2 linked regions of the Astyanax mexicanus genome follow. The protein of the gene in region 2 purifies or fractionates together with the protein of the main gene of each other region. This does not show direct contact. Links are inferred from orthologs where the notes say so. Each region holds a gene or a part of one and is shown on either strand. Other genes may lie near its edges.

The links. Proteins that work in one complex are often made in the same cells at the same time.
Region 1: the proteins of med9 (region 2) and med23 purify together in Homo sapiens (co-immunoprecipitation; 3 studies listed by BioGRID and IntAct, with this or other methods). This does not show direct contact. The link is inferred for Astyanax mexicanus from reciprocal best matches to the Homo sapiens genes MED9 and MED23.

What each region holds. Positions count from the first base shown.
Region 1 is NC_064408.1:41,855,573-41,863,299, forward strand, and holds the start of med23 (mediator of RNA polymerase II transcription subunit 23), read left to right. Parts: upstream 1-4,721; 5' UTR 4,722-4,855; coding exon 4,856-4,906; intron 4,907-6,082; coding exon 6,083-6,114; intron 6,115-6,215; coding exon 6,216-6,303; intron 6,304-6,411; coding exon 6,412-6,536; intron 6,537-6,760; coding exon 6,761-6,872; intron 6,873-7,153; coding exon 7,154-7,252; intron 7,253-7,640; coding exon 7,641-7,727. UniProt on the Homo sapiens protein: Required for transcriptional activation subsequent to the assembly of the pre-initiation complex. Component of the Mediator complex, a coactivator involved in the regulated transcription of nearly all RNA polymerase II-dependent genes.
Region 2 is NC_064422.1:7,758,454-7,765,376, forward strand, and holds med9 (mediator of RNA polymerase II transcription subunit 9), read right to left. Parts: upstream 3,098-6,923; 5' UTR 3,076-3,097; coding exon 2,975-3,075; intron 563-2,974; coding exon 343-562; 3' UTR 104-342; downstream 1-103.

The sequences.
Region 1 (7,727 bases), on a different chromosome or scaffold from region 2:
TGCAGCCGTGGTGTGTCCACTAAACTCCGTAGTTATAAACATCCTGAGGTTAGCAGCGTGCTAACTGACCTGTTTATAATGTAATCCCAGCAGTGACTCCGTGACGGCTGCTCTAAACTGCTGCTGTTAGCTGCTTGGGCTGAAAGATGAACTGTAGAGAGCTGTATTATCCGGTTAGTGGGGTTAAAACCTTTATTTCCTTATAAAAAAAAAAAAAAAAAAAAAAAAACGCTCCAGACTGTCTGAGCTGAGCCTGTAGCCCGTGGCTGGGCTGTAGGTCTGACTGAATAAAGACAGCGGCAGTGTTGCCAACTCCACAGTAAGGAAAGTAGCTTGGCTGTCCTAAAAGTCGCTAGAAGTCGCTAAATGACGTCATTAACTAATTTGCATAATATATTTTTTGAAGCTGTAAAGGATTAAGGTTGTGGGAGAGAAAAAAGGGAGTAAAAAACACCATAAATATGTTAGAAATGTTACAAATGAACAACTTCTGTTGCTTTTTAAATAGGACGTCACTTTTGTTTACAATAACTTAATTTTTATGTGAATTACATAAATTATTTTTTTGCCATGCCAGCAGCCGGAACTGTTATTCTACGTTTTTTTTTTAGTTTTTTTTTTTTCAGTTTTTTTTTTAGTTTGTTTGTTTTATTTATTTATTTATTTATTTTACATTTTCTTAAGTTTTCTTTATATTTAAACCTATAATAGACAAATTGTTCAATGGTTCAATAGATATTTAGCTTTGTTTTATTTATTAATTTTTTTAGCTTTGTATTTAGATTTGTTTTATTTTATTTTTATTTTTTTACGTTTTCTTAAGTTTTCTTTATTTTTAAACCTATCATAGACAAATTGTTCAATGGTTCAAAAGATATTTAGCTTTTTATAAAGAGGCAGACACTGTGGAGGAGGTGAGTGACAGGCTATGTGGTGAATGAGGTGAGTGAATGATTGAGACTTTGTGAATTAAATTAAGGGATTTCTGTTCGTGTTACACTGAAGGCACTTTAATATTTATACTTCTGCTCTGTAAATACAGAGCGGGGTCAGTCAGCGGCGGCTGTGGGCACGCGCGATTCATTTACAATGTGTTCGTGGAGCGGTGTGTGTGTGGGACAAAGTCGCTAAGTTGGCAACACTGGACAGCGGGGATTGTGCTGCTGCAGCTCCGACTAGTGGTTGGATGAGGAACTGCAGCTTCCTGTAAGCGAGCAGTTTCACCGGTTTCACCAGTTTCATCCACACACAGCTCTGATAAACTGCTTATCCCTAAACTCCTGAATCAGATCGGCTAAAATCAGAAGAATATCTGCCGATCGCCGATACCGTATTTGGCTGAACATCGTCTGATACCGATACACTGCCGATCGATCGTTCCATCTCTAGTTATTTGGTTTATGTGTGTGTTTTAAGAATGAGGGCCCCAAAATGGCTAGATCCGCCCCTGGCTGCTTTAACAACTTCAGTCTGAGGAGAGTGTGTGATATTTAGGAACACAGTTAGCATCATGCTAATTGCTGGTTTATAAGCTTCCTCTGCATTAATCTAGCAGCTCTAGTGTAACTAATCAAACAAACAAACAATATTCGGAGAAGTTGTGAAAATCTGACATTTGATTAAATCATTCCTTTAAGGTCAGGGGAATAACATAAACATGTCACTGTCAATAAATGCCTCACAAATCATCCAACAGCAACCACATTTCAGATAAAACAGACACCATGAGAGCTTTTCAGTCAAGTATGTATTGCTGCAGACTGGAGCACCTCCAAAGAGGAGGGGCTTAGCTCCAAATGGGACGTCCACAGCTCCAAAGGGGAGGGGCTTACCTCCAAGTGGGAAGTCCATCAACAGTATACAGCTCGACTGGGAGCGCGTTTGTGCGCGAGACCTCTCTCACCACGGCTCCGACGAATGTCATAATAAAAGTCTTACGTGATTATTATTATTACTATTATTCTATTACATCAAATTTAATGTTATATAGAATGTACTATCACATCATATTATATTATATTATATAAAAATCTACATCGTAAGGCAGGGAGACATCACTCAACACAGCTCCATTTCTCTGCCGAATGCCACAACAAAAGTCCTCCGTGATTAAAAGGCTCATGGATGTCAATAAATATATTAGTCAACAATTAATGATTATTTATATTTCTTAAATGTCAATATAATAATATACGTGTAGTGTGTATGTATTTATAATATTATTGGCTATGAATAAACAACTGCATTTATTATTTAGATCTTTACTATTTTATAATTTGAAAAATTCACAGCATGGCAAATGTTTAAAGGTTTTAAATAAATAAAATGTAGTTGCAATGTGCACAACATGCTTTTAGACTCTTAGAAAATGCATTTTAATATAAACAAACATTTAATAAACGAAATAGATTAATTAATTAACCTTTGGGGTTATTTACAAGCACAAAACGTTGTAAAAAACACCATGCTGCGTAACATCAAGCACCATCCTACTTGGAGGTAGGCTCCGCCTGTTTGAAGGGAATGTTCCTCCCCTTTGGAGGTGCTCCAGGCTGCAGCTATACCCTTCTCTTTTCAGTAGCCAGCCTACTGACTCCACTGCAAAGCGGTCATGTTTTAAATCCGACCTGTGGTGTTTACTCTGGGGAAGCACTGCCCCCTAGTGTTGAGCATCACTCACCACATTTTTTTTATGTATAATATTTATGTCATTGCTCATGGTCTTTATAGAGCCACACGATGTTCATTATTTTAAATGAAAGCCTTTAACACCATTGATCATATTTTGTTGACTGGAATATTTGTTTTTAAAAATGGTGATGAGTCAGCAGCCAAACCATGCAGTTTCCCTTCACACAAAAAAATATAAAACACAAGTATATAAATAAATAAAGATATAAAGCCTCTTTTGTTGTGGGACAAATTGTGTTGATAATAAATATACAGAACATTAGTTGTTATTATGTTTTAATTCTTTGATTATTTCTAAATACAAACATATAAATACATTAAACTGTGCAGGACAAATTAGGCTCAAATTTTGCTGGAAGGACAAACTAAGGGGGGGAAAGGGAAGAGTTCATACAAAGTTAAAAGGATCCACTGTTGTACAGGTTAGCTGTATTTTTATAAAAGTAAATTGATTAAGGATGGCAATGTCGTTCAAGAAACAACACATATAGCTGCATGTTGTTTACAGCTGATGGAACTTCCTGTTGTAGATGTGACTTGTAGAATATTCTCAGGGGTCACTAATAGGCGGACCGCGGTCCGGGTCCGGACCCAGACATTGTCCAATCCGGACCCAAACCAATAAACTACTGAGAAGGATTTAATTCTGACAGTGTTCATTTAAAGCGGTGGAACTTTTATTGTTTTTATGGTTCACGTGCTTTGCGACGCATTAAACTTACACCCCAATCACGTGTGCTGTAAGATCAGCAAACGCTCTCCTCTGCCAATCAGATCTGTGCATATGCGGGAGCACGGAGCCACACAGGCGAAGCAGGCGGTGAGAAATCGGAGAATAAAGCGAGAAAATAAAAAATAAATTAAGATGATAATGTAATGTAACCGAGCAAAACAGTCCACTTTACTCCACCTGATCAGAACTCCCTCGTTCGCAGGCGCTCTCTCTACTCCCGAAACAACCCTACCTTAAAACTAAGGCAACCCCCAGAGGACAAAAAGCATTGACAACTCCCCCATCAGTTTTACCCACAACATAATAAAGTCTGATACAGTACTAATATTAAATACAATAAAACTGCTGTTTTTAAACAAAGCTGATACAAGTTCAGCAAACATTTCTCCATATATTGTATGATTTGTCATTCATGTAATTATCATGACAGGCAGGCCTAAATCTAATATAAATAAAAATAGAATAAATATATAGCATTTTGAAACAAAGTTAACATACAGATTCACATTAATAGACTCGATAAGTTAAATTATTCAGGGTGTTTTAATTTATTTTATGATAGGTTGATAATGTAATTATTGTGACAGACCTATTTACAACAATACATATTGTTGAAATGTACTAGTATGTGTAATTTGTAACACTGACAGAACTACAAGGCTTCTTCAGTGTACAGGATATAATACTAAATCATAACGCAAGTTAAAAATGGCGAAGGTCCGGACCTTGGCCTGGCAAAATTTTCTTTAACTGGACCGTACTGAATTCTATTTAAATACCCCTGTTCTAGATGTTTCAGATGGGGTATTGTGTGACGGTAACAGGAAAGAGTGAAAACCAGGGACACAAATAAATGTGTATTTTAACTTTATGGATATAATATATGTATATTATGGATATTTAATATTATGGATTTATATGGAAAATATTTTAAAGCATACATGGGACTTGAAGTCACAAAGCAATGCAAGAAAATTACATGTGAAGGATTTTAATAATTATATTTTATGGTAAAATTTATAGAGAGTGGGGACAGGTAACAAATGCTATTTTTTCAGTGTTCTATATATATATATATATATATTACATATCTTACTTTTGCAATTAGGTCAAGACACTATGCTTATTAATAAAATGTATTTTAACGTTATTTTGTGTGCACATTTATATATGTCATTTCCTGGAGACAGAAATGGCACAGATTCTGTGGAATATGCCAGTTTTTTGTAGAGAATAACGAGGAGGAGGAGGAGTGTTTTTACTGGATCCGGAACCCTGGTTTGGGGCTGCTGGAGGATCAGGAGGGGGGATTGTTATTGAAGCTGCGCGGCGGCTCCGCTGTAGGAGGAGCGGCTGATCATGTATCTAAAGCAGAAATTAAACTAAGTGTAAAATATTCCGGCGCTTTTTCTACGCTGTGAGGGTTAAACCATGGCGGTCCCGATGGAGAGTCAGCTGCAGAGTATCTTTGAGGACGTGGTGGTGCGTGTTTGTGTTTCTGGAGCTGAAACGGAGAGTTAGAGTCGCTTTAGCCGAGCTAGAGAAACTAGCCCTTATCAGAAAAACTGAACTGATTTAAACTCCCCCAACTTTATAACAGGAGCTCAGATATGATTATCTATAACTTCACTGTATTAAGCATTCCATTAGCTCCTTAGTAAACGGGGGTTAATCTCCACGCTGAAAGCTGTATGAAGAGTTAGCTAACGTTAGCTAGCTTAGCTTTTAGGTTAGCTAGCATTAGCTAGGTTACCATTGTCTTCTCTACGATGCTCTCTGAGTTAGCTAAATGACGGTTAAGGTTCAGATAAACCATTCACTTACCGAGTTTAGCTAACGTTATCTGAACATAACCTAATTATCTCAGAAAATATGGAGTAAAACCAGAAGCAACAGTTAAAGTGTTCATGTAGCTTGAGGTAGAATAAATTGATTTAAACAGCCTCAGAGAAAAATACACTTATTTTGATCAAAATTAGGCCAGCTACACCACAGACACACTATATATATAACCTATATTTGGCCATATCTTAAAATCTGGAGCCTGATTATTAAAAATAAAATGTGCAGAGAAACGTTGTAAAGTCTGCAGTTTTGGTTTTGACCTCCACCTAAAAAAAGTGTGATAGATAGATAGATAGATAGATAGATAGATAGATAGATAGATAGATAGATACTTTATTGATCCCTGAGGGGAAATTCTACAAAATAGAAAATTATAAATGATGTCACATTTTGCTTTGCACAAAATCCCCCTCTGTCATTGTGATACACAGATATTTTACTTCAGTTAGGGCTGTGGCATATTGTATCATATTTATTAATATCGTACAAATGTGAGACTATAAAAACTGAATATCGTGATAATAGCAATATTCTTGAAAGCAGTCTTTGTTGCAGCAGTGTATTCTTGATCTTTTTTTGTCATTCCAGACTATAGTTATCGCAAAAATAGATTGGATTATGATGATAATATTTTAAAGTCATGTTGCCCACCCCTGACTGATTTTTATACAAATTAGAAATGTTGCTGTTATACACTTAAAAATGGAAGATAACACCAATTTCTTGTGTTCATAAGATTATTAATGTCTTCGTTTTATGTAATTCATAATCAAAGCTTTGTAAAAATTCATGTTTTTTTTTTTTACCCCTCAGAAAACAGAAGTAATTGAGGAGGCTTTCGCTGGGTATGTGACAGTATACATTGAGTTTTTACATCATACAAACATTTGTGGTTATGTGGCATGTTCTTCTAAATTAAGTATAAATTATATTTCTATAACTACAGGATGTTTATGGACACCCCTGAAGATGAAAGAACCAAACTTATCAGCTGTTTAGGAGCATTCAGGCAATACTGGAGCAGTCTTCCTGAGGTTAGTTACACAAAAACCTGTGCCACTTTGCCCCAGGGCATTGTCTTGTCCTTTTATTAACTTTTAAGTATATCATGGGGCATTATGCAGTGCTGCTCTTTTCTGCAGGAGTCCCATGAGCAGTGTGTGCAGTGGATCGTGAGGTTTATCCACAGCCAGCACAGTCCAAAACGCATCTCCTTCCTCTATGACTGCTTGGCCATGGCGGTGGAGACCAGTCTGCTGCCCCCCAGGTACTTACATGTATAAGACAAATTACACAAAACTGTAGTGGTAGAAGTAAGGCTAATAATAAAATTTAATAAAATAAATCTAGTTAAAAAAAAAAATGTTTTATTGATCTATGAACACAACAGACTGTTAATCGATTTTAGTGGTGTATTGTGAACTGTGTGTAAATAATAAAAAATATTATGATGAATATTATAAATAATATTGTGTGTTTTTGTGTTTATAGAATGGTCTGCCAGGCTCTGATCAACTCTGATTCTCTGGAGTGGGAACGCACACAACTCTGGGCTTTGACCTTTAAACTCATTCGCAAAATCATCGGTGGAGTTGATTATAAGGTACAGTGGAATCTTCACTTTATATAAAATTCCAGAATAATTGAATGCATTAACACTTTAACATTCAAAAAACTAGTTTTGAGTATTTGCCTATGGTCTCATTTTGTGTTATGCGCTTTAATAGTTAGGGAATAAAAACACAGTCGAGCGGGGGGCATATGTTTTGTTACCAAATACTAACACATGTCTGTCTCCAACCATTTACTAAATGTTAACTTGGAAGTGTTAATCTGTTGTTAGATGGCCTAAAACATAACCACCTGTTTTGTGTTCTGTTGCAGGGTGTGAGAGACCTTCTGAAGGCTGTTTTGGATAAAGTTCAGACCATCCCCAACCTGGTCAGCTCGGCTGTAGTGCATCAGCTGCTGCCTGTGCGAGAGGTATAGTTCAGTGTAGCATGGAATAGCTACATCTTTTATTACAATACATTTACGATAAGTGATATTGAACAATAAAGGAAGAGCCTGGTTCTGTCAGCTAGGGCTAGCCAAGATAGACAAGATAGCCCCAGAATAGACAGTCTTAAAACTTTTAATAGCCTGTTTAAAACTCACAAATCATTATTACTATTCAAAATCATAGCATGTGGGACAAGTTAGTTTTTTTTGCTGTAACATAAATATATTTCTGGGATGATTATGAAGCCCTTTGTGGTCCAAGTCAGTTGTGTTGAAATGTGGAAAGCAACATGGGCTCTTCTTTTTGGTTTGAGAATAAGGACCACTGTATTTATATTAATAACATGGATCTCTGTTGTTGTTGTTGAAGGTGGTGGAGTACATCCTGGACAGGAATGCTTGTCTCCTTCCAGCTTATTTTGCTGTGAATGAAATCCGGAAACTCTACCCAGAGGGA
Region 2 (6,923 bases):
ATGACTCACCAGCAGTGATCAAAACATGATCAAATGTTAACAGTGCTGTTACCACAAGCAAACTACAGCATACGGACTGCTTCAACTGAAACGTGAAAGGATATGTTCTTAGAAAATATGTTTGGTTTATTAGACACAGCTTTGACATTTTCAGCAGTAAAAAATAAAAAATAAAAAATTATCTAACAGCAACTAAAGCACAGTCAAAATCAGTAAAGTCACACGAATGATGGGGAAAAGCACAGTCCCTTGTGTGGAACAGTTCTTTTTCAGATGAGTTTGTCTGTCAATAAATAATCCATCTGTCCTTATTTACTCTGTAGAATCCTCTGATCCTCTTCCTCAGGAAGGCTTGGGGATGTCAAACATACACAGGCCCTTGTACTTGTGTAAGAGCTGGTTCTTGGTACGAACCTGATCCCTAAGCGTTTGCAGACGCTGCTGCTGTGCTGATGGACTCGCATCAATGCCAGGCATAGCTGAAATCTGCTCCCGTGCCTCCTGAATCCGTGCTCTCAGTCTGTTTAACTCCTGGTGAACATCCTGGTTCTCTTTGTCCATGCTGTGGATGCAGAGCCAGATATATCCATTTTAAAAAAGACACAGTGCAGGTAATACAACAGCAATAAGTAAAGATGAGTATCAAAAATCTGTACTTTAACAGGACAAGATTAGTAACTTATATTATTCTACTGATTAGCAGCTATGACTCTATAAGCATTTCTAAAATTTAAGGATTCAAGGAGACTTTATTGTGGTTCACATTAAATGTGGTGCATGAGACTAAAGACAACTGTATTCTCATGGTCCAGTTACACCAAAAAGAGCAATTGTTAAAATAGTTAAAATAATATAAATATAAGAAAAAAATAAAACAGCATAAAAATAAAATAATATAAAACCATACATACAGCAATATGAAATCAAGAGTGCAACTTTTGCTATAGCAGCATGGAAATGTGTGAACGAAAAGCAGTAACATATTACATCCAAACATCTGATTGGCTGTCAAATTTGCATTGCTGAATTTTATCATAAATACTTCAGAGTGGGTTTGGGGTTGAATGCTCTGTTGTAATGAAACTTACCAAATCAAATTTGTTTACAGAATGTTATTACAGCAAATGTTTTTCAAATACACTGCCTGATATCTGAGATACCCCTGGCAAAATGTACCAAAAAAGTATCTGTTCAGATTCACCACCACAATTACATTTAAAACTTTAACCTTATTTATTTTAGTGGTGGGCATGACGATATTTTATTGTAATAAGATGCATTTTCTTATTTAATTAACATTAAACATGTTTATGCATCAGTAGTATAGGAAAGCATTTTAATTGTATATTTTATGGATCTGTCACTACTGATGCATCTTGACCCCCATTTCAAAACAATTTTTCACCACCTTCCTTAATAATAGCCTTTTTTTTTTTTTACCAAAATTGTTGTGTCTGTCTAAAGCATCTCTTTATGGTGCTGTATTGCCACCTGTGGTAAATTCTTCTACAGCCTCAGCTGATCAGATTATTTGATTCTACCCCCTTAGGAATAATGCCCTATTTCAGAATGACTTAAGCTTTATTATGCCTAATACAAGTTTAATTAAGTTTCCTTTTATAATAATAAAGGCTACAAATAGACTATGCATTTTGCATGGCTGGTTAATCTTATTAGGTTTTATTGGGGTTTTAGTCTGCATTTTTGTCAGCAAAATATAACTAAAAGCATTAAAAACAAAGCTAGGTAGAAATGTGCTACAATTTGTGGCTGTTAAAATGTTTTCTGTCTTTAATTGTTTTTTGTCTTTTCAAAATTTTGATATAGCACTGATTCTGGTTTGTTTTACTGATGGGTTGTATGATAACTTTTTAAGAGGATAGTTTATCATCTGAAAAACGTGAGAAAATGTATTTTATTTTGATTATTTTAGGAAAGTGTCGATATTGAAATCTGATTATGATTAATTTATTTGTTTATCCTCCAAAGCTTTTGGTCAGTTTCTGTATAAAGTGATATTTGGACAAATTGTGGGTCACTGTAATGTTTATCAGTATTTTCTGACTATGAGAGGCAAAATTAGAGTGTGTATTATTTTTTTCTATTTGGCATTATGAAGAAAATACGGTTTTCATCCGTTTTCCCAATGTTCTATTAATCAGGAAATTTCAGGGAAAAAATGAATTTATGTTACTATTTTTCCATCCTGTTGCAAAAGTAGTTTGTAACAGATTAAATTAGTTACACTGAACATCTGGGTGTAAGAAACAGACGTTATAGAAAATAAAATAAAGCTACACTAGCTAAAAAAGTTTACTTAATGTTAGTTAGCCAGCATGGAAGTAAACAAATAACAATACCTAGCTAGCTAGCTAACCTACAAGTTTAGCTGAACAAAATATATGTTAATTAATGCTTATTGTCCTTAGGGTTTTGTTGTCAGCAGACATTCATTGGTGCAATAAGAGTTACATGTTTGTTTAACTGTATAATTTGGACATAAGTTTATAGAGGCTGTGTTAGAGTGACCCGAGTTTGGAATTGTCCGTTCCACCTTAAAGGTTGCAGCAGTTAGCTAGGGTTAGCTTAGCTTAGCTACGTTCTGGCGCCTCAGATGCTAGCTAACCTTTTAAGGTGGAACAGACAATAGCCACAGCACTCTTTTACAGCGTCACATGTAGGTTAGCTGTTTAATTACACTTTTATGCTGCCTTATTTATCCTGCATATAATAACAGTGTATATACAGCTCTATATTTTACACATCTTTAATTAAAATAATACTGTTTCTCGAGCAGTAAAGCGGGAACTCAGAAGCTCTCTGCTAACTAGCGTTAGCCTAGCTAACCTAGCGTTAGCTTTTGTAGCTGGTCCCGATAGTTTACCGGCCGTAAACCGGTATTTTCTGTATTCAGACTTTGTATTTTGGGCTTGTTCAGTTGACGACAGTCTAGTTTAGGGCTGTAAACTCTTACCATTTGATAATATCGTGAATTAGAGGTAAAAAGGAGTAATCCTCCGTCTCCTCCACCACAGCCACAGCGCTCGCCATCTTCAGCTGACTGTCCTCTGACATCACAGTCCTCTGACATCAGCAACACAGACCAATCTGACTATTATTCAGATTATTATTATTAATAATATTAGCTATTAATCACTGCAAGGCTCGCGTGCCTCGGCGTGTGACGTTTCTTTTTGTCTTTGTTTGCATTTGCATTTTTCACGTATTAAACACATGTATTCAACTCAACTCAACTCAACTCAACTTTATTTATAGAGCACTTTAAAAACAACAACAGCTGCAACAAAGTGCTGTACATAGCACATTATAAGATAAGAAACAAAATACTAGAAACAATGACAAATTAAAATGTAGGTATCAATAAAAAGTTTCAGATAAATCTAAGAACTAAGTAAAGTAAAAGTAAAAACAAAATAAAATAAAAACAGAAATAAAATAAATAAAAATAAATAAAAAATTAAAAAAATAATTAATTAATAAATAAAACAAGAACAAAGTCTTAAGTTGGGTTAAAAGCCAAGGAATAAAAATGAGTCTTTAGCCTGGTTTTAAACGTGGACAGTGACGGGGCTTGTCTGACATATAGTGGTAGGCCATTCCACAGTTTAGGAGCCGCAATTGAAAAAGCTCTATCCCCTCTAAGCTTGCGTTTTGACCTCGGCACCTCCAGGAGCAGCTGATCAGCTGACCTAAGGTACCGAGCGGGGGCGTGGGGGCAGAGCAGCTCAGTGAGGTAAGGCGGAGCGAGTCCATTTAAAGATTTAAAAACAAATAAAAGAATCTTAAAATGAACTCTAAAATGCACAGGCAGCCAGTGGAGGGAGGCCAGAATGGGAGTAATGTGCTCTCTCTTGCGTGAACCTGTTAAAAGTCGGGCAGCGGCATTTTGCACTAACTGAAGGCGTTTAAGGGAGGACTGATTGACCCCAAAATATAGTGCATTACAGTAATCCAGCCGGGATGTAATGAAGGCATGGATTACTGTTTCAAAGTGCTCATGTGTGAGAACTGACTTCACTTTTGCCAGCTGCCTAAGGTGGAAGAAGCTGGACTTGACTACTGCACCAATCTGGCGATCCAATTTAAAATCACTGTCCATCTTAAAACCCAGGTTAGAAACTGTAGGTTTCACATACAGCGCCAAGGGGCCCAAATCAACAGGGGGGGCTTCACAAGAACCACTGGGACCAAACACCATCACTTCTGTTTTCTTTTCATTAAAATTCAAAAAGTTTAAAGCCATCCAGGCTTTAATGTCATTAAGACATAACAGAAGTGGTTGAATAGAGAAATCGTCTTCATTTATTATGTTCTAATTAAAGTATCAGTAAAACATTTGGACACACCTTGACCCTTTCAACTCTGAGTTATGTTCCAAAGAGGGATAAGTATAAAAATGCTTTTTTTTCTACCTTTAATGCACACAAAGTAAGTAACTAATACCATAGTACCAACATTTTTATTTAATATGCGATATTGACCTTTATATGTTACAAACCATTTCTACACAGTGAAGTAAACATGGTTAATGTGTCAAAAATCACATATAAAATTAGTTAAAATAAGCTCTAATTACTTTGCCTCATTAGCATTAAGCCCTATCCGGATGGGATAAGTTTCTCTGTAAAAAAAATATTTCACACTTCCACTCAGTGATAAAACTCTTGCAACCAGACCTCATTTAAAAAACAGGAGGGCCAGTGAGTTTTTTAGCTTTCTCGGTCACATGACATCATGTTCAGTAGCCCCTCCATTTCCACTAGCTGTTGTGTTTACGAGGATCTTTGTGAAAACCTGCGCCCAAAGTGTAATTACGGTGCGTAGCAGTGGACAAATAGCTATTTTATTAAATGCGAGGTGATGGAACTCAGAGATGTGCGTCCGGATGGGACTAAATTACCAGAGGACCACGGAGTTCAGTGAAAAACTGTAGGCAATTCAGCCTATAATTTTCTTAGAGGACCCCTGAAAAAAACACATAAATGGTCGTTCTGGATGGTCATATCATAGAGGACCCCCATAATAGAGAAAACTAGCAAGCTGCCAAAGTCAGAGCAAACCTGGCTCTTAAAAGAGAATGGCACACGGATAGGTTTATTTCACATTATGGCCAAAACACACCCATGATTAATTAAGAGAATAAGAACGAGTTAGTTTCAATCTGTACAAGGTGTACTTTTCCAGTCGTTACAATAGCAAAGGCACACTGATTCACCCTAAATCAAGCTGCATGGTGCACGGTTGGTGGCTCACCTACAGATGACCTCTGTTGCACAGGATAAGTTCATCAACCTTACCAGCCTCAGAGTTACCAGCCTAAGAAACCTCAATTTAACAGCACTCCACTCAGACACAACTACTGCAAATTTGTGGTCTTTACTCTGACTCGAACCCTGGAAAGTCTGGGTCCTGATTCAACACTAGTTACTCTGGGCCGCTCTTACGTGGGACTTATGTAAGAACCTTTTCCAACCAGCTAAAACATCACATGGTCTCTGGCAGAGCTGAGCAGCATCCTGGTCAGATGAGGAAAGCTGGAGAGCACTATAGGGACCACATTGTTTGTCTCGACACACAAGGCTAGGGTTGGACAGGGAGATGATCTTCAGAGGCTTTTTGATTTAGCATGAAACAGTGAATCTGCAGCATCTGTGTATCGTTTCATCCACGGCTTCCTCCTGACTGGAACCAACCTACGCATGAGTCAGGCAATAGTTCAGTCAGAGATGGGATTTAACACGGCCGAGTCTCTTACATAGCTGGAGATCACGGGTGTGCTGTGGAGCTTTAAAGATATTCTGGATTATTCGTTTCGGGTCAATGTCTGATCTCTCCTTAGCAATAAAAGATGGCAAAAACATTGGTCTATTAAAAAACTGTTTACATTTTCAGATTCACCCTGTTTTCTGTAACTGTTTTTTAGTACGGTGTGATGGATGCAGCACCTAGGAGTAGGCCATTGTAAACTGGGCCACATCTGGACAAGGCTTACCTGTAAAACACCAAAAAACCCAGAAAACATACAATTTTGGGCCCACGCCCCAGTTAAGGTTCTTTGAGTTAAGATAAGTCTTCTGTAGTTCAAAACTAACAAAGTTGTACCCACACAGCTAATTCATGGTTCTCACTACTACACAATTTTAGTGCAGAATATTTTTTTGTAGTTTTTCCAAAAAGATGTGGCTAAATGATTGCAAAAGAGTCACAGAAGCACAGCAATCATCTAGCAGGTTTGATATCTGGACCAGTTGGCAAGCAACGACAACCTACAGCCAATGAGAATGCATATAGAAAGAATTAATGTATCTTCTGCATTGCATCACTAGTTCTTGTGTGCATTTGTTTTTGGAGAGCAGCAGATGATTTTGTGAAAAATTTGGTCTTACTAATGTGTCTCTAATAACTGTGTAGTTACACATTAACAATCCATGTAATAACAATGTAACTACTGTCAAAGTACACATTGTTACAGATAAGAATAGCCCTATTTGAGTAATGTTTTAATTCATATTATGGCAAGAACTACTCAATTAAGCAAAAGTCAACAGGACCACCCCAGAAGAAAAATAAACTTTTCACTCTTTCAACCCTAGGAGTTTCCTTGCTCTGGGACAAATCCAGTATATTATTATTTTTTTTATTGATGCATATGGATGGCACAGCTTTCACTACTGCCAGTGCTTAGTTCTTTTTGAGAAATTGTTGTTGTACTTTGTCTTTTGCGCCTCACATCTGTGACCCCTGGAGCATTTCTTTATCTTGTTTGTATTTTTTATGCCAGAAATCTGCATTGGGCTTTCTGAGCAGTCTGAACATAGCCTTGGTAAGCTAGTTAGGTTTCTATCTTTATTTTTTTATTTTCACAGCACTGTGTGTGTGCATTTACACACTTCGCTACACTG